Linked DNA regions of Oryctolagus cuniculus. The protein of the gene in region 2 interacts with the protein of the main gene of each other region in a biochemical or structural test. Links are inferred from orthologs where the notes say so. Each region holds a gene or a part of one and is shown on either strand. Other genes may lie near its edges.

What was found.
Region 1: of the proteins of MCM6 (region 2) and DBF4, one has a biochemical effect on the other in vitro, tested with the Homo sapiens proteins (2 studies listed by BioGRID). The link is inferred for Oryctolagus cuniculus from reciprocal best matches to the Homo sapiens genes MCM6 and DBF4.
Region 3: of the proteins of MCM6 (region 2) and CDC7, one has a biochemical effect on the other in vitro, tested with the Homo sapiens proteins (2 studies listed by BioGRID). The link is inferred for Oryctolagus cuniculus from reciprocal best matches to the Homo sapiens genes MCM6 and CDC7.
Region 4: the proteins of MCM6 (region 2) and MCMBP form a complex in vitro, tested with the Homo sapiens proteins (2 studies listed by BioGRID). The link is inferred for Oryctolagus cuniculus from reciprocal best matches to the Homo sapiens genes MCM6 and MCMBP.

Annotation. Positions count from the first base shown.
Region 1 is NC_091447.1:47,448,317-47,452,486, forward strand, and holds the end of DBF4 (protein DBF4 homolog A), read right to left. Parts: intron 2,795-4,170; coding exon 1,825-2,794; 3' UTR 1,414-1,824; downstream 1-1,413. UniProt on the Homo sapiens protein: Regulatory subunit for CDC7 which activates its kinase activity thereby playing a central role in DNA replication and cell proliferation. Required for progression of S phase.
Region 2 is NC_091434.1:107,465,286-107,470,212, reverse strand, and holds part of MCM6 (DNA replication licensing factor MCM6), read right to left. Parts: intron 3,621-4,927; coding exon 3,510-3,620; intron 2,335-3,509; coding exon 2,085-2,334; intron 1-2,084. UniProt on the Homo sapiens protein: Acts as a component of the MCM2-7 complex (MCM complex) which is the replicative helicase essential for 'once per cell cycle' DNA replication initiation and elongation in eukaryotic cells.
Region 3 is NC_091438.1:79,103,218-79,108,144, forward strand, and holds part of CDC7 (cell division cycle 7-related protein kinase), read right to left. Parts: intron 3,325-4,927; coding exon 3,231-3,324; intron 3,146-3,230; coding exon 3,003-3,145; intron 2,544-3,002; exon of another isoform or gene 2,027-2,543; intron 1,500-2,026; exon of another isoform or gene 1,427-1,499; intron 1-1,426. UniProt on the Homo sapiens protein: Kinase involved in initiation of DNA replication. Phosphorylates critical substrates that regulate the G1/S phase transition and initiation of DNA replication, such as MCM proteins and CLASPIN.
Region 4 is NC_091446.1:10,873,385-10,878,311, reverse strand, and holds part of MCMBP (mini-chromosome maintenance complex-binding protein), read right to left. Parts: intron 4,405-4,927; coding exon 4,239-4,404; intron 2,428-4,238; coding exon 2,294-2,427; intron 1,663-2,293; coding exon 1,498-1,662; intron 1-1,497. UniProt on the Homo sapiens protein: Associated component of the MCM complex that acts as a regulator of DNA replication.

The sequences.
Region 1 (4,170 bases), on a different chromosome or scaffold from region 2:
TGTGAGTGGATATAGAAACCAAGGTATAATTATAAGTGCTATTAGAGAATTAAGTGCCACTAGAAAAGAATTTTTTAATTAATTTAAGTTTTTAAGAATCATCTTCTCTGGGTAGACACAATGCCTAAGATACATAGGCTGGGCCTTGGTAAAAAAAACTTACAAAAGCACTGACCTCTAGGTGAATGTACTCATTGCCAGGACAATTATATGCTGCAACTATGCTGGATTTCTATCAGCTTTGATCCTATAGGCTGAGTACCCACCCCATAATGCAACCCAATGCAAATGCCATGTGATAGTCCTGCTTCAGTTTATAGCACCATTCAAACAAACTGCAACCTAAACATTTCGTAAAAGCTGATTATTCATTATGAAAATCTTACAGTGTTCAGTCCAATATCCAAAGTATTTACCAACTACTAGAGGGTTCAGCTTCAGTCTCCCACCCCCACCTTCATTAAATACCAGGGAAGCAAAATGATACAAATAATTGTGGTGCAAACATAACTGCAAATTGAGGAGACTCACTGTAGAGTCAAAGATTAATATAGCAAGTTTACCTTTTAATTATTCTGGATTTGGGGGACATACAGATATTAACTTAAGGAAAAAACCCTTCAAATTATTTTCTAAGTTTCTAGATTTTTAGAACACTCTCTATAAAACTTGACATCAATTCAGAGATACACATGTTCATTTGTGACAGAAAATGCTACAATAGTGATCTACAACTAAAACAAGCTTTGCTTATATGCACTGTAGACTCTTTCATTGATCCTACCTAAGGAACTGGTAAGAATAATCAAGTTGTTGAAAAGCCAGTATTCTCACTGGTAACCTGCAATGGTTAACATAATACAAGTGTACTGAAAGAAATGGAAATGCTCTTTCCATGTATAAGAAAGTATGCAACTAATTCTATATTGGGAGCCATATACGATTTCAAAAATTTACAACTGTTAACTAAAGTTAATTTTTAGTGACAATGTATTCATGTGATATTCAATGGCACCAATTTTCTACCATGAAAAAATGCCACTGTTATTGCCTTCTATCTTCTGATAAAAAGATAAATTGCTGTTATATGTGTATTTATTCCAAAATATTGTACAGGCAAGTGGTAGAGCAAAGCAATTCTGATACAGATTTCAAAACTCTATCTGCAATTCAATACCATCCTTTTTCTCTCAACACTAAGTTAGAAGAAGCATAATGAGTCACTACTCTCAAAGTTATTTCCAAAGGTAAATAATTAAGAATAGCACAAGAGCTATAGTCCACATTGCAGCTGGTTAAGTTTTTCCTTCATGGCTTCTATTTACCCTACAGATAATCTGTCAGTTACAAAACACTAACCTGACCCAACTGAGTCACAATGACGTCCAAAATTCTAACAGAAATTAACACATCTTTTCCTTTTCCATGAAATGTTTTTAATTTGCAGATTTTTAATAATGCCATGTTATCATAAGAATCTATTGTAATGGACAATAAGTGTAACTTAAAATATCCAAATTTATGTTGATACATTTTTAATATTCTCAAACTCAAATTTTAGTGGCATACAGCAAACTATATTTTTCATTATAATTCTCACAAAATAATTATGAACACAGTAAAATATGACAAAGTGAAAAGTTTATAATTTTCCTAATATATTAAATTCTGTAGAAAATTGGAAACATCACCTTTATTAATATTTACATTTGGTTCTGTAAACAAAGGTAGCCAAAAACTCCTAAGAATTTTTATATATATTTCTAAAATAGATTTCAAGAATTTGATCTATGTGACTTTCGAAAAATACACATCCTTTAAAGTCTAAAAGCCAGTAAATGTAGAATTTGAGGGGGAAGAAAAAAACATCGACAACAGATTATTAGAATTTTCCTCTTCCCAAATATCTAAAACATCACATACACCACTGTTTTCAGTATAACTTGTGAAACCCATAAATTCTGACTTCTCCTCACTAGTCTGAAATAAGTCCAGTAGAGACTGTACTGGTGAACTACAGATTCTGTTTTCTTCTTGTGTAATAAGAAATTCAGTTCTCTTCTTATCCAATTCAGCATTTGGCTCCAGATTTTCTTTTTTATTTCGTCCTAATAACATTTTCACTTTTCGACGTATTTTACAAGAACGTAAACTATCCACATTTTTGATGTCACATTCACTGGGTTCTTCACCAGGATGAGGGGATTGAGTCTTTGCCTGAACTGTTAGGTGCTCTTGTGAACTGTTGATTGTTCTCAGATCAGAACTGTGACCAAGTAATGAATGAAGTTCCTTTTCCTTCAGATTCTTTGTTGGAAAATTCACAGTATCTGAGTTCTGTTTTGGTTGAGCAGCACTATTTGCACTGAAAACAGAAACTTGTATAGAAGTCTGTAGCCTACAAGGACAGTGATCTACCCCTAGCTCTTCTAAGTCGTTTTTACTTAATTTAGTATCAGAAATGTCAAGAATGAATTCCTGTTTATTTTTATGTGGAGGTAGCTGTGTAAAATTTTGTTTTGTATCATTTTCAGCTGTATTTAACATAGGACTCATTTTTTCATTGAGTTCTCTCAGTTCATTTGAAGCGCTGTGGATGGGTTCTGAAATCAACACAAGCTTTTGTTCAGGTTCCTGAGTTTCTTCACACAGGAAATTCTGCTCCATCACCTGTATCTTACTCTCTCTCAAGTCTTTCTGAGAAATATGCTGCAATTGTAGCTTTTGCTTTGGTTGAGTCTTTTTCAGGATATTAGCAGAAACAGGAGAAAAGGATCCAATACTGTATTTTATTCTTTGTAGAAAAAAAATTAAAATATTTGCTATCAAAACAAAATCTTGTTAGAAACAGAATTAGCAAAAATATCTTAAAACTATTTAAGAAACCTACCTAACTTAGAAAATATCACAAAAGCACAGAACTCAACATTTTGTCTAATTTATTTTTAAGATGTTTTTAAAGTAATCAAGACTTTACAGATACAGCTGAAAATTCTTCTCACTCTTTTCCACATTCTTCACTCTCCACCCCAAAGTTATCAAATATCCTGAACTGGGTGCTTAAAACTAGTTTAATCATGTACAGTCAAGAAAAATGATAGTAAATGAATTTGGGCCTGCTCTTAATTTTGCTCTCATGATTCTGAAAAATTTCTTTACTTCTGTACTTTTGATTTGTATTAATGAATATTTTACTCTTCTTATTTAGCATTGTGGAAAATTGAGTATTTATTGAGAAATCAAAGGTAGAAAATACTTATTATTTAAGAATAAAATGAGAACTTAAAATGTTTATACTTCTAAAGATGGCACATATTTAACCTGAAACCCTTTTCTTTATAGTGTCTTGATATCCTTGTGATGGTCGTTTTATGAAACAATCTATACAAATACAGAAGTTAACAGCTCACCAACTATGTTTTATGTTATATATAACACAAATAATAATGATAAATGTAATACAATTTTGTCTGCCCCTTCAATCAGAATGGTTCCTGATTTGGGTCCCAGCTGCTCCACTTCTGATCCAGCTCCCTGCTAATGGCCTGAGAAAGCACCAGAAGATGTCTTAGGTTCTTCAGCTCCTGCTACCCATGTGGGAGACCCAATGAAGCTCCTGACTCTGGCCTGGCCCAGCCCTAGCCATTGCAGTCATCTGAGGAGTGAACCAGTGGATGAAGGATCCTTCTCTCTGTCTCTCCCTCTCTAACTCTGCCAGCTTTCAAATAAATCTTTAACGGGGTGTAGGGAGGCTGCAGGAAGTCAAAATTAATATAAGTATCTTTATAAATCAAAATAAATACCATTAGTCTAAAATAGATCTAAAGACAGAATAACTTATTGAATCATCACTAACTCTAGGTACAGGGGTATCCATTTAGTGAGCATCACCCTTTAATCTCAATAATAATCTAATTAGGACCATTTTCCTTAATCAGTATGTAGTCATTGTACATTGACTAAACTGTATTTTCAGTTAAAAGTCCTGTTGGGAATCACTGTGCACTTACTCTCCATGTAGGACCTCTGTCCTTAATGAGTTGTACTATGAGAATTAACTACAAAACTTGTTTTCAAACAGTACTTCATACTTTGTGTGTTTGTGTGGGTGCAAACTGGAAATCTTAGAATAGAGTTGGTCTTCTGTATATAAAGTTAATTAAAAAATGA
Region 2 (4,927 bases):
GAGCCTCAACTTCATCCAAGTCTCCCATAATGGCAGGGGACCAAGCACTTGAGCCACCATCTGCTGCCTCTCAGGATGCATTAGCAGGAATGCCAGACTGGACATGGAGCAGCCATGACTTGAACTAGCACTCCAATATGAGATGCAGGCATTTGAAGCAGTGGTTCAACCTGCTGTGCCACAACACATGGCCCGCATCATGTTCTTTTAATAAACTCTCTCCTAAAGTATTGATGCTTCTTATAAATTATCAGATTGGCTTAAGAAAATTAAGCTTAAGAAAACTGCCTTAAGAAAAACAGAATTCAACTTTACTCGTTTTACTCTGATCATTTCTCCATGCTAAAGCTTCTCTTCTTTGCATATCCTATAGAAATTTACCAAGGTCTGAGAGCTTCTCTCTCTTTTTTAGAAATTTATTGGAGTCGGTGCTGTGGCACAGTGGGTTGGTTACACCTCGATCCACGGTGTTGGCATGCCATATGGGTGCTGGTTCATGTCCTGGCTGCTCCACTTTCAATCCCGCTCCCTGCTAGTAAGCCTAGGGAAACAATGGAAGATGGGAGACCCGGAAGAAGCTCCTGGCTGCAGACTTCAGCAAGGCCCAGCCCTGGTCATTGTGGCCATTTAGGGAGTGAACCAGCAGATGAAAGATCTCCCCTCACCTCTAATTATACATTTATTTGAAAGGCAGAGTTAGAGATAGGAAGAGACAGGAAGAGATCTTCCACCTGCTGGTTCACTTCCGAAGTGGCCCCAACGGACAGGACTGTGGCAGGCTGAAGGTAGGAATCTGGAACCCCATCCAGGTCTCCCACATGGGCATCAGGGGCCCAAATGCTTGAGCCATCTTCCACTGCTTTCCCATGCACATTAGCATAGAGCTGGATCAGAAGTGGAGTAGCTGGGACTCACACTGGTGCTCATATGGAAATACCAGCATCACAGGTGGTGGTTCAACCCTGAGCCATGATGCTGACTCCTCCTCTTCATTCTTACTACCATCGCTTCTTACCCAGGCAACTAAAACTACCTGTTAAGATTTATTAAACACTGTCCCATTAAATTTCCCCTGGAAAAAAAAAAAAAAAAAGAAAAAAAAAAAAAGAAAAGAAAATCTGAGTCAGTGTTTGGTCTTCAAATCAGAGTACCTGACTTCAAGTCAGGAATCTGCTCCTGATTCCAACTTCCTGCTAAAGCACATCCTGGAATGTAGCAGGTGATGGTTCAAGTGGTTGAGTTCCTGCCACCCATCAAGTACAAATGGACTGAATTCCCAGATCCTAGGTTCAGCCTGGCCCAATCCAGGCATCCTGGGCATTTGGGGAATGAACCAGGAGATGAGGACTTTGCCTCTTAAATAATATAGCTGTATCTCCAATTCTTACAGACAGTGCTGAACTTGTCAACTAAGATTTAAGGATCCAAACACCTATAGGCTTCATATGAAATCATCTCTCAGCTGACCTCCAATTTGGATCTTAACACTTCAATCATGATCATCTCATAGCTTCCATCTTAGCCTGTCCATTCACTCATGCTTTTTTTTTAACCAATTCAAAGTTTTATACTAATATATTGCTACTTCTCCTAAGTTTTCTTAACTCCAATTCTTCTTCATCATTATCATAATAGCTACTGTTTATTCTTTGACAAATATATTTCTTTCCTTTCTCCCCTTTCATATTTATTTGGAAGAAAGAGAGACAAACAGACAGTGCTCCCATCTGGTTCACTCCCCAAATGCCCACAATGACAGACTAGGCCAGGTGCCAAAGCCAGGAGCTAGGAACTCAATCCAGCTCTCCCAAGTGGGGGGCAGGAAACTAATTACTTGAGCTATCACTGTTCCCTTCCAAGATCTGCATTAGCAGGAAGCTGGAATCAGGATACAGAACTGAGATTCAAACCCAGGTATTCTGGTATGGGACACAGGAATCTTAACTACTAAACACACATCTCTATGGTCACTTTCAACGATAATTCACATAAAGACTGAATTTAACATTACCTAAATAAACTAATTGCAAGGGCCAGAAAGGGAATCAGAACTGAATCTGGTCTAAAGAAAAGGAAAGAAATACCTTCTGAAAATCAACAAATCTCGATTTATTTGTATCCAGCAAGAATCTTCTCCTATTGGCACAAACTGGGTTTCGGCAGATATTTGGCTGTGTGTATTTGAACTGCTGTTCTACATCCTTGATCACTGTCTGACAGTCCAAGCACAGGAATGTTCCGCTCACTAGCTCTGGGTGAACTGGGTGAGTCCGTACCACCTGCCCACTGATGCGGGTGAGCAAACCAATTCTGGATGAAGTGAGTTCACGAATCCTGTTTAAAGATAAATATCCCACTAGTAAATATTCATTTCTCAACTAAGAAATCTTTCCATCCTAATGAGAAAATTCAATGATAATTTACACTTTAAAAAAAAAGGCAAAGTGTTCTTTGGACACTACTGAAAAAAAACGATTCTTTGTCAACACCCCTATTCCTAAATTACACAGTGCACACATATTCACAACAAAACATATAGATGAATAAATATGAAAAGCTAACTAAAGGACACCAAATAAAGTTAAAATTACAAACAGGATAATCTCAGCTTTGTTTTATATACTGTTTTTGCTTATCTACAATTTCTAAGAAATCATTAATTACTTTCATAATGAAGTTATCAAAGGAAAAAATGTTATACTCAGAAGTTGAAAAACTATTTCACACATACATTTTATATGAAAAACTTGGTAATTTCGTAACATATTTTCAGCAGTTTTAGTTCTCAAAAATACCACTTCAGTTACGCGACCCCCGAGCGGTCGGCGTCCCCCAACTTCTTAGAGGGATAAGTGGCGTTCAGCCACCCGAGATTGAGCAAAAATACCACTTCAATTTCTTTCAATAGTATCTTTTTAACGTAATTACTAAAGACTATTTGAAAGCTTTGTATTTAAGATAACAAAATATTCAGAAGATTTATAAATCTCTACAAGTGTTCTGAGTGCTATTTTCTCATTTTTGCCCCAAGCTTCCCTTTTTAAATGTGCTATAAAATGAACAATCATAAGAATCTGCTTCACTTTACTTACCATCCCATCTTCATAGAAAATCATGTTTTTCTAAAACTAAATGTTCTGTACAACCAGGTGTAACTAGAAAAAAGCCAATCTGTTTACAAAATGTGCACACAAAACACTATTCCTCCCCCCATATTCATCAATTTATAAGTACTTTCTTTTTATTTTTTTCAATTCTTGTCACTACCAAGCATGAATAAGTAATTTTACAGCAAGAAATCTACCTTTTGCATGATTAGGTAGAAAAAAAAATCTAAACCAAAAGATTTTACATATGAAAAACTGAGGCCCCAGGAGGCAAATGTGATTTGTGTGATATTAAACAGCTCGCTATAGCACATCAGTGTAACCTCCCAAATTTTCTGACTGTCAGCTAAATGGTACCAATATTATTTGGTGAATTCCTTTTCTAAGAAGAGTTTTTCTTACTTGTGTCTAGTAGGCAGGTCTTGAAATGCAACATAAAAATCCTTGGCAAGAGGGATCTCTTTCCGGTCTTTGACGAAAGTTTTTAAGGCCCGACACAGGTAAGGGTAAACTCTGAAAAAGAAAAAAGTCAGCTGATAGCTCAGATATCTTACATCTCTCTTGCAACAGCTGAGTCTAAGGAATTTCATCTGGTCACAATCAAGCCCTAGGACTTAACTGTACAGGACATTTCTATCATCTAATCTGGGTTTAAGAGTCTCTTTCAACCCTCTCCCATCCCACCACATAACACCAAAGATAAATGCTATACCTATCTTATCTTTGAGTAATTTAGCACTCACATTCTAGTGACAAAGGTCACTCCTTTGTCCAACACAACTCTACCTAAACCATCTGTCTTGTCAGTATGATGCTGAATACTGTGAGTTTTCACAGGGCTGTTTACAATCTAATTAAGACAACTTCATATTTGTTGTCAGGCCCTAGCATATATAGTAGTTTTTGGTTACATTCTTAACTGATAATGGATGAGGATAAGGGAGAAATTTAGCAAACACGCAGAAATGTTTCACTTGACTGGTTCATCTGGTGTATCTTAAGTCCCCAATAGCTATGGTAGCTTGGTTTAAGGAACAGACCTAGAAAAAAAAAAAAAAGATGGACAGCTCATTTAGGAAGTTTAGCACAGGTACTCACTCCTACCTCTAAACCTAATTTTCTCTCTCTCCCTCACTTGTGAGGATTCTAAGTCTTCAGGGTATATATTCTTCCAACCTTTCTTTTTTTTATAAAGATTTTATTTATCTGAAAGACAGAGCTAGAGAGAGGAGACACAGAGATAAGAGATCTTCCATCCATTGGTTCACTCCCTAAATGGCCACACAGGCCAGGAGGGACCCCGCCAGGATCTAGGAGCTTCTTCCAGGTCTCCCAGTGGATACAGGGGCCCAAGAACTTGGGCTATCTTCCACTGCTTTCCCAGGCACATTAGCAGGGAGCTGGATAGGAAATAGAGCAACCAGGATTCAAAGCAGCACACATATGGGATGCCGGTGCCACAGGCCTTACCACTATGTCATACCCCACAACTTCAGCACCCCTTCCAACTATTCCTGATAGTCAGCTACTACCTAAATACACAAGACAATTCTGTCTCCAAATCCACCAAGAGAGCATAATTCTGGCTACTTATCCCTGGATTTACATTTCTCTTTCATGACTATCCCGTGTTTATTTTAAACTGATTATAAAGACAGTCACATTTACTGTGTACCAGTTCTTGTGTACGAAGATGGTTCTTGCTGTAATAACAATTGAAAGTAGAATGAAACCCTGTATTAGTAAATATAATGCTTAATCACACTATTTCTACTCACCTCGAAAAAAAAAAAAAACACTTAACTATATTAGGAGTTGAG
Region 3 (4,927 bases), on a different chromosome or scaffold from region 2:
TTCTCCGCCTGCGGCACCGGCACCCCGTGTTCTAGTTCCAGTTGGGGTGCTGGATTTTGTCCCGGCTGCTCCTCTTCCGTGCAGCTCTCTGGTGCAGCCCAGGAAGGCAGTGGAGATGGCTCAAGTACTTGGGCCCTGCACCTGGCTCCTGGCTTTGGATCGGCGCAGTGCACCGGCAGTAGCAACCATTTGGGGGGTGAATCAATGGAAAAAGGAAGACCTTTCTCTCTCTCTAATTCTGCCTGTCAAAAAAAAAAAAAAAAAAAAAGAAAGAAAGAAAGAAAGAACAGTGTTCAAGAAAAAAAAATACATTTTACAAAGCAAGGATTTAACACCAAGGTAGAATTGAAAATTAAGAAATGATATAGGGGCTGGCGCTGTAGCATAGCAGGTAAAGCCACCACCTGCAGTGCCGCCATCCCATATGGGCGCCTGTTCAAGTTCTGGCTGCTCCACTTCTGATTCAGCTCTCTCCTATGGCCTGGGAAAGCAGAAGATGGCCTAATTGCTGGGCCCCTGCAACCCTGTGGGAGGCCTGGAGGAAGCTCCTGGCTCTGGGTCAGATGAGCCCAGTTCCAGCTGTTGAGGCCATTTGGGGGTGAACCAGAGGATGGAAGACTTTTCTCTCTCCTTCTCTCTGCCTCTGTGTAACTTTGTCTTTCAAATAAATCTTAAAAAAAAAAAAAAAAAGAAATTATATATTCCAGGAGCTGGCACTATGGCTTAGCAGGCTAAACTGCTAACTGCAATACTGGCATCTCCTACGGGTGCCCCAGTTAAAGTCCCAGCTGCTCCATTTTGTTCCAGCTCTTTTTTTTTTTTTTTTTTAAGATTTATTTATTTGAAAGAGTTACACAGAGAGAGGAAAGGCAGAGAGAGAGAGAGGTCTTCCATCCGATGGTTCACCCCCAACTGACCATATGGCCGGAGCTGTGCCATTCCGAAGCCAGGAGCTTTTCCAAGTCTCCCACATGGGTGCAGGGGCCCAAGGATATGGGCCATCTGCTGCTACTTTCTCAGGCCATAGCAGAGAGTTGGATTAGAAGTGAAGCAGCTAGGTCTCTAACCGGTGCCCATATGGGATGCCGGTGCTTCAGGCCAGGGCATTAACCCACTGCGCCACAGCGCCAGCCCCTCAAGCTCCCTAATATACCTAAGAAAAGCAGTAGAAGATGGTCCAAGTGTTTGGGTCCAGGGTCCCTGCCACCTGCATGGAAGACTCAGATGGACTTCTAGGATACTAGCTTCAGTCTTGCTCAGCTCTGACTATTGTGTCTATTTGGAGAACAAACCAGCAAATTGAAGATGTTTCTCTCTGTCTCTTCCTCTCTCGGCTCTTTCATATAAATAAAATAAATCTTAAAACAAAAAAGAGAAAAAGAAATGACACACTCCACAGTCAACTGCTTTTCTCTCTCTTTTCCAGTGGCCTATGTTAATGGGGCAATATAAATACAATGCTTTATTCTCTGATCGTGGCACAGATGGCATCACAGCAGGTAATTTCTAATAAAACAAGTTTAAAAGAGAAGTTGAAATAATGGTTTTAACATATGACTTAATTTTTAAAAACTAAAGGAGTGGGCATTTAGCACCGAAGTTAAGCTGCTGCTTGGGATATCTTTTGCATGCCCTATCAGAGTACTTGGTTTAAGTCTCAGCTCTGCTCTCCATTCCAGCTTCCTGCTAAAGTACACCGAGGTAGGCAGCAGGGGTATGGTTCTAGTACCCAGGTCCCTGTCACTCATGTGGGAGAACCAGATTAAGTTCTCAGCTCCTGGTTTTTTGGCCTGGCCCAGCCCCAGCTGTTATAAGCATTTGGAGGGTAAACTAGTGAATGGGAAACCTCTGTCTCCCTGTTTCTCTGCCTTTCAAATAAGTAAAAATAAAAAATTTACTCTATAGGGGTGAAATGGTCATTTTTCCATTCAATTATTCTGTATAGCTATTGTCTATAGTCACACTAAGCTCAGGTCTTTTTGCTTTTTACTTGTTAAACTTTTTTTTTTTTCCTTGTACTTGAAAGTCACAGTTACACAGAGAAGGAGAGGCAGAGAGAGAGAGGTCTTCCATCTGCTGGTTCACTCTCCAACTGACTGCAACAGCCGGAGCTGCGCCGATCCAAAGCCAGGATCCAGGAGCTTCTTCCAGGTCTCCTACATGGGTGCAAGGTCCCAAGGACTTGGGCCATCTTCTACTGCTTTCCCGGGCCTTAGCAGAGAGCTGGATTGGAAGCGGAGCAGCCAGGACTCGAACCGGCAGCAGGCGGCCCTACCCGCTATGCCACAGTGCCAGCACCTTGTTAAACTTCTTATTCAGTGAAGTATTAAACCTTTTTACTGTAATGTAAATTTAAAATATGTATCTCAAAAACTAAAAAAAAGAATAAAAGGGCAAAGAAAGGAGGGTGGAAAGGTGACAGGGGAAAAGAGAGGGAAAGGGAGAAGGAGGGAATATCACTATGTTCTTAGAATTCTATCTACACAGCACACTGAATCTGTTAAAAATAATTAAGAAAAAAAAATTTTTAAAAAGAAAAAGAAAAATCATGGCTATAAAATCCCAACAAACAAGTTACACTCTTAATCTTGTTACCATATTCAATATGATATACTATATAAACAGCAGCATTTAAGTTATTTTATTCCTCTATGTATATAATTAGCATAAAAAGTATACATAAAAATAGAGCTTTAATGTTTAAACAGGAAACTGGTTATTATGTGGTTTAATTCCTCATTTATTAGAAAAGAAAAATGAAGTCATGTGTAAATTCAAAGATTATAAGTTTCTTAACTAAGAGTTATTTACTCTAAACCACAGTTCCTCTAATGATATACACTGCTTTACTAATACAAAGTTATCTTCTCTGCATTTTCCTTTCCTAATCACAAAGAAAGAAACGATTTGGACGTGACTGCTGAAGTGTATGTCTAAGGGCTGGACCCTATCACACAAATTCATTGAAGTGAAAGTATTATCTAGGAACTCTTCATACTCACTTTTTCAGGCGTCTATTATATAAAAAATTGCTGGGCTTAACATCACGGTGAACAATACCAAACTGGTGAATGCGTTTCAAAGCTCTGAACAGATTAAACATGTATTCCCGTACTTCTTGAAAGGAAAGAGAATTCAAAATGTCCTAAAATAAAGTTATAAATAGGGTCATAAGATAGTTTTCAATTAAATATTTAGCTAATAAAAATTCAAGAAATATTAAAACTTACCAAAAAAGACTCATGTTCTAGGTATGGCATAGCAATAACAACATGATCATTTTTCCTAAAGCAATATTTAACTCCCATGACGTTGTCTTGCCCCCTAGTGGAAAAAAGTTCAGTGAGCTTTAGAGGAAAGATCAAACTGAATCATTACAGCTTAATCTTTTTTTAAAAAAATATAACTTTAACAATGCATGCATGCAGTATAAAACTGACTTAAATCATCACAAGATAGTATAACATTTAACTCACTTGGATAAGAAAGCAAGCATTCTTTTAAAATAAAAATTGTTATCAGCTATGAGGTCACTATAATAATTCAAATATGAGGTAATTAGAAGTGGCGAAAAAAGAAGGAAAAGATAAACAAGAATGAATTGAGATTTGGTAGCAGATAAGATGGTAAGAATAGTACGTTCATTCCAGGTAACATTAATTGAACACTTACTACACAACTAGCTCTGATCTAAGTACTTCGTATCTACCACAACAAATTCACTTACTCTCCAAAGAAACCCTACGAGGAAGGTGCTACTATTTCTTTCCATGTTCACAGATGAAGAAACAGGCACAGAGAGGTTAAAGAACTTGTCCAAGGTCATTAAACTAGTAAGTCTCGGAGCCACGACTTAAAAAAAAAAAAAAAAAAAAAAAAAAAACTTTTAAAATTATTTAGAGAGGCACAGGAGAGAGAGATACAGACAGAGGGAGAGCTCGTTCACCTCCCAGATGCCTACAAGGGCTGGGGCTGTGTCAGGCTGGGACTCAGTCTAGGCCTCGCATATAGGTGGCAGGGACCCAAGCACTTGAGCCATCACCTGTTGCCTCCCAGGGTGCACTTTAGCAAGAAGCTACAATTGGCAATGGAGATGGACTCAAACCCACGCACTCCAACATCGGAGGCAAACATCTCAACCAGCACCTTAGTCACGAGGCCAAAACTTGCCCCTTGAGTTACAAGTTGAATCCTGTTAGTTTATTCCTAACCAATGTTCTTAATCACAATGTTTCTTAACGGGTAAGGAAAATGGAATAATGTTGATTTCCATGATTTTGATACTGACTGTAATAAGTAGATGCCAAAAAAATTAAGTAAAACAAGCAAACAAACAACACCAACAATTCATCATTTTAAAAGAAAAATTTAGATATGGGACTAAATATTTTAAATTTTTTAAAGATGTATTTATTTATTTGAAAGGCAGAGTTATATATAGAGAGAGACATCTTCCATCTGCTGGTTCACTCCCCAGATGGCAGTGATGGCCAGGGCTGGGCCAGACAGAAGCCAGGAGCCAGGAACTTCATCTTGGCTTCCCACATGGGTGGCAGGAGTCTAAACACTTGGGCCATCTTCTACTGTTTTTCCCAGGCCATCAGCAGGGAGTTGTATTGGAAGTGGAGCAGCCAGGATATGAATTGGTGCCCGTTCGGGATGCTGGCACTACAGGTGATGGCTTTACCAGCTATGCCAATACCCGCCCCAATCTTTTTTTCTTAATATTTTATTTATTTCTTTGAAAGACAAAGTTAGAGAGAAAAGGAGAGACAGAGATCTTCCATTTGCTGGTTCATTCCCCAGATAGCCACATGGCCAAGGCTGGGCCAGGTTAAAGCCAGGAGCAAGGAGATTTTTCTGGGTCTCCCACATGGGTGGCAGAGGCCCAAGCACTGGGGCCACCTTTTACTGCTTTCCCAGGCCA
Region 4 (4,927 bases), on a different chromosome or scaffold from region 2:
ACCAGCCAGCTCCAAGACTAAGCTGATCCCATCTGTAGAGCACAAAAAAAAGAGAAAGAGCAAAGCCCAGATTCGTGCGGTAAGTGCACCACCATACACATCACGGGAATGCCAGGGGGAGAGGACGAAGAGAAATTTACAGAAATAATGGCCCAAATTTCCCAAATTCGCTGACAACTTCACCAGAATGTGCTTTAGTGTGCAACATTCAAGAAGCTCAACTAACTCCAGCCAGGACAAGCTGAAGACATGCCACGGCGGGCTGTCGAGCAGAGCGGCTTGCTGTGTACCAACGATCCTCTCATGAGAAAGCAGAGGCCAGAAGGCGGTTAAAAGTGCTTGAAAGAGGACTATAAGCCCAGAATTCTACCCAGCAAACCAGCATGAAGGAGAAATTCAGACATTCCCTACGGGAAACACTGAGTGCTTCAGGTTGGCATGAGAGGACACTGGATGGTGACATAAAACTCAGCCTGGCAAAGGTAACGACGTAGGTGAATGTAAAAATAAAGGCCTTTTTTCCTCTGATTTAAAAGACAAGTGCATAGAAGCAGTAAGTTGCAAATGTGTTAACGGGTGTACGATGTCTGAAAATGTAACCTGGGGTTGGCACTGTGTCTCAGCGGGTAAAGCCGCCACCTATATTTCCAGCATCCCATATGGGTGCTAGTTCAAGTACCAGCTACCTCTCTTCCAGTCCAGCTCTCTGCTATGGCCTGGGAAAGCAGCAGAAGATGGTCCAAGTGGACCCCTGCACCTGCATAGGAGATCCAGAAGAAGCTACTGGCTTCAGATTGGCACAGCTCCAGACGTTGTGGCCATCTGAGGAGTGAACCAGCGGATGGAAGACCTCTCTGCCTCTCCAACACATAAATCTTTATAGTCATACAGGTTACATATTTTTAAATAAACTGGCATTAATCCCAAATAGGTTATATTATTAAAATTTATTTATTTGAAACTCAGTTACAGAGAAGTAGAGGCAGAGAGAGAGCTCTTCTATCCACTGGTTCACTCCTCAAATGAATACAATGGCCAGGGCTGGGCCAGGCCAAAGACAGGATCCAGGAGCTTCATCCAAATCTCCGATGTGGGTGCAGGGGCCCAGGCTACTTTCCCAGGCACATCAGCAGGGAGCTGGAATGGAAGCAGTTGACCCCAGGCCCGAAAACATCCATTTCAAATGAAAGTTGCCAATAATGGAGGAAGAGAGGAATAGAAAAAAGAGGAGTGGGCATGGTGATCCAAAGGGTTAAGCTGCCTACGATGCCGGCATCTGTTTGAGTCCCAGCTACCCCACTCCAATCCAGCTCCCTGCAAATGTGCCTGGGAATGCAGTGGGAGATGGCCCAGGGGCTTGGGCCCTTGTACCACCTTGTGAGAGCTGGATGAAGCTCCCGCCTGGCCGAGCTGTTGGCCGTTTGGGGACTGAACCAGCAGATCACGGTCTGCCTGCACATGACCGCACAGCGGCTCCGCCCAGGCGCCCTGCGGTACCTTGGTCACGTCGTCGGAGATGCTGTAGTCCAGGAACCGCAGCAGGGTCAGGTAGACGCGGAACTTGCTGAGCGCCGAGGGCAGCACGCCGGCCAGCAGGCTGCTCATGTGCTCCTCCATGTTGGGTGGGACGAGCTGGGGCTGCAAGTGCACCTGGCAGTCGGCCTGCACAGAGAAGCAGGACGCGGTCTCCCCACGTTCCTGATTTAATCTCCGTTTTCGGGAGGGTGCGACATCGCTAGCAGCCGCCAGGGGAGTTAGAAAACACCGTTTCTGGTTTCTACGCACTAGGGGACCTGCGCAGTGCTGACAGAAGATGGCTGGCTCTCGGTTACCCAGCACGCTCCCAGACAGCTGCCCAGCGAGCCTTGCCCTGTCACGGGCGCCTCCTCTCCAGCGGTGGGGGCATCATAGACACCTGGCAACCAGCAGGACTGGTCACCCTGAACACAGCGCCAAGGGACTAGGAGCATCTGCCAAGATCTCTAGAGCATTTCTCACACAAGCTTGGCTGAAAACAACAGGGTGATACTCGGGCAAGTAACCAGCCACTTCTACCTCCCAGGCCACGACGTGGCAGCCCTGCTGCCAGGGGCTTTGCATACCTTGTACTGTGTGGACACCTGCTTCTTTGCAAATAGAAGCTTTCACCCCAAGGAAGGAACAGAATAATCAATTTCCTTATTAACAATCAGTAGCCACAAGTTGTATACGAGTGCAGCGCACTGATTATCAGCAGCATCAAAACCCGGCGCAGGGTAACTGAGCCCCTCCAGGCACACAGGCCCCGGCCTACCGGGAGGAGGGAGCGCCCCTCCGAGGTGATGAGAACGTTGATGTTGCAAGGGAACTCCATCTGGTGGTAGCTAAAGTCGTAATCCACCTTCTGCCAGGTTATGAGCTTGCTCAGGGCAGTCACGTTGTGGACCCCTAGAAAAGCGAGGCCATTTCCAGTCATTGGATTTGAATCACCAAATTAGTTTTGCTGACACAGATGTTAGCACATGAGGTTCCCACTGCTTTATTAAAGGATATAGAGCCCTCTCCAATTTACTAAATATTCCTTAGGTGATATGCTCCACAGACAACAGGGCTTTTCTGTCAAGCTAGAACCTTCTAGGGTGAAGATGTCCCCAAATCAAACGCCTCGTGTCTGATGTGCCACAGGGCATAAAGGATCCAAGGCAATGTGCTCCTACGGCCTGAAATAATGATAGGGCTAAAACTTTTTAAAAAAGATTTACTTTAATTATTTGAAAGGCAGATTTACAGACAGGGAAAGAGAAGGATCTTCCATGTACTGGTTCACTCTCCAGATGGCCGCAATGGAGGGTTCGACCAGGCTGAAGCCAGGAGCTATATCGGATCCTGGTCCCCCACATAGGTGGCAGGAGCCTGGACACTTGGACCCTCTCCACAGGCAAGGAGCTGGATAGAAGTGGGGCAGCTGGGACACAAAGCAGCACCCGTATGAGATGCTGGCATCACAGGGGGCAGCTTTACCCATGATGCTACAGCAGCCCTGTGATGTTTACTGATGTTTTATACTCTCTTCTACTTTACATGTACTCAGTCTGCATTATTTTTTTCTTCTCCTCTTACCTCCTGAACTTATCACCAGCAGTCGCATCTCCATTCTCTGTGTTTCAGCATGGATAAAAGTCTGTTTTCTGGGGCTGGCGCTGTGGTGCAGTAGGTTAATGCCCTAGCCTGAAGCACCAGCATCCCATATGGGCACCAGTACAAGACCCAGGTGCTCCACTTCCCATCCAGCTCTCTGCTGTGGCCTGGGAAAGCAGTAGAAGATGGCCCAAGTCCTTGGGCCCCTGCACCTACGTGGGAGACCTGAAGAAGCTCCCGGCTTCAGATCAGCGCAGCTCCAGCCATTGTGGCCATCTGGGGAGTGAACCATCAGATGGAAGACCTCTTTCTCTCTGCCTCTCCTCTCTGTGTGTAACTCTGACTTGCAAATAAATAAAACTTTTAAAAAGTGTTTTCCTATAAATTTAATAACATGTTCCATAACTGAGGTTACTTCAAACTATGTGGTCTATTACATACTTTCTCAGAGGTTCCCTGAAAACTTTATACTGGAGGCAAGAGTTTGGCAGAGCACTTAAACTATTGCTTAGGACACTGGCGTCCTGTATGAGAGGGCCTGGTTCAAGTCCTGGCTCCTCTGCGTACAGTCCAGCTTCTTCCTAATGTACATCCTGGGAGGCTGCAGGTGACAGAACATGTGGGGGACCCATGTGGAGCTTTGGGCTCTTGGCTGTTGAGGGTCTCTGGGGAGTGAACCACTGGATGGAAGATACCGCTTTCCCTCTTTCTGCTTTTCAAATGAAAATAAATACATAGCACAGCTGGTAGAGCTTGCTGCCTGCGATGCCAGCATCCCACATGGGCACGGGTTCGTGTCCTGGTTGTTCCCCTTCCGATCCACCTCCCTGCTAATGGCCTAGGGAAAAAGCAATGGAAGATGGCCCAAGTGTTTGGGCCCCTGCACCCACATGGGAGACCCAAATGAGACTCTCGGCTTCGGCCTGGCCCAGCACCAGCTGTTGTGGTCATTTGGAAAGTGAATAGCGGATGGACAATCAATCTCTGACTTTCAAATAAATAAGTCTTTAAAAAAAGAAAAAGAAATGTGACTTTGTTCAGAGATACCCTATCTCAGGTCATTTGTACATCTGCCTTTCAGGGCAGGGAGGGTGGAGGTGGAGGAGGAGCCCCGCCCCTACCTGGGCTGTCCAGCTGACCCTGCTCCAGGAGCGTCTCGTCAATGACGAGGGAGGTGTTGCTGGGCAGCTGCAGGAGTCCACTGACCAAGCGATTCGCCGCGTAGTCTTTGTGGGGGATGAACTTCAAATGGTTCATGTTCTCTATCGTCATCTGTAGGCGAAAAGACTGCAGAGAAGTTTTCTTATAAGCAAGGATCTAAGTTTCCCTGTTTTAATATTGGGATACTTCAAAAAGTTTGTGGAGGATCCAATTAAAAGCTTGTAATGGGGGCCAGCTCTGTGGTGCAGCATGTTAAGCTGCCGCCTGCAGTGCTGGCATCCCATGTGGGTGCCAGCTGGAGTCCTGGCTGCTCCACTCTGATCCAGCTCTCTGTTATGGACTGAGAAAGCACTGGAAGATGGCCCAAGTCCTTGGGCCCCTGTACCTGCGTAGGAGACCCAGGAGAAGCTCCTGGCTCCTGATTGGCCCAGCTCCAGCCATTGCGGCCATTTGGGGAGTGAATCAGCAGATGGAAGACCTCTCTCTCTCTCTCTAACTCTCCTTTTAAATAAATAATAAATGTTTTTTTTTTTTTTTTTTTTTTTTTTTTTTGACAGGCAGAGTGGACAGTGAGAGAGAGAGACAGAGAGAGAAAGGTCTTCCTTTGCCGTTGGTTCACCCTCCAATGGCCGCCGCTGCAGCCGGCGCA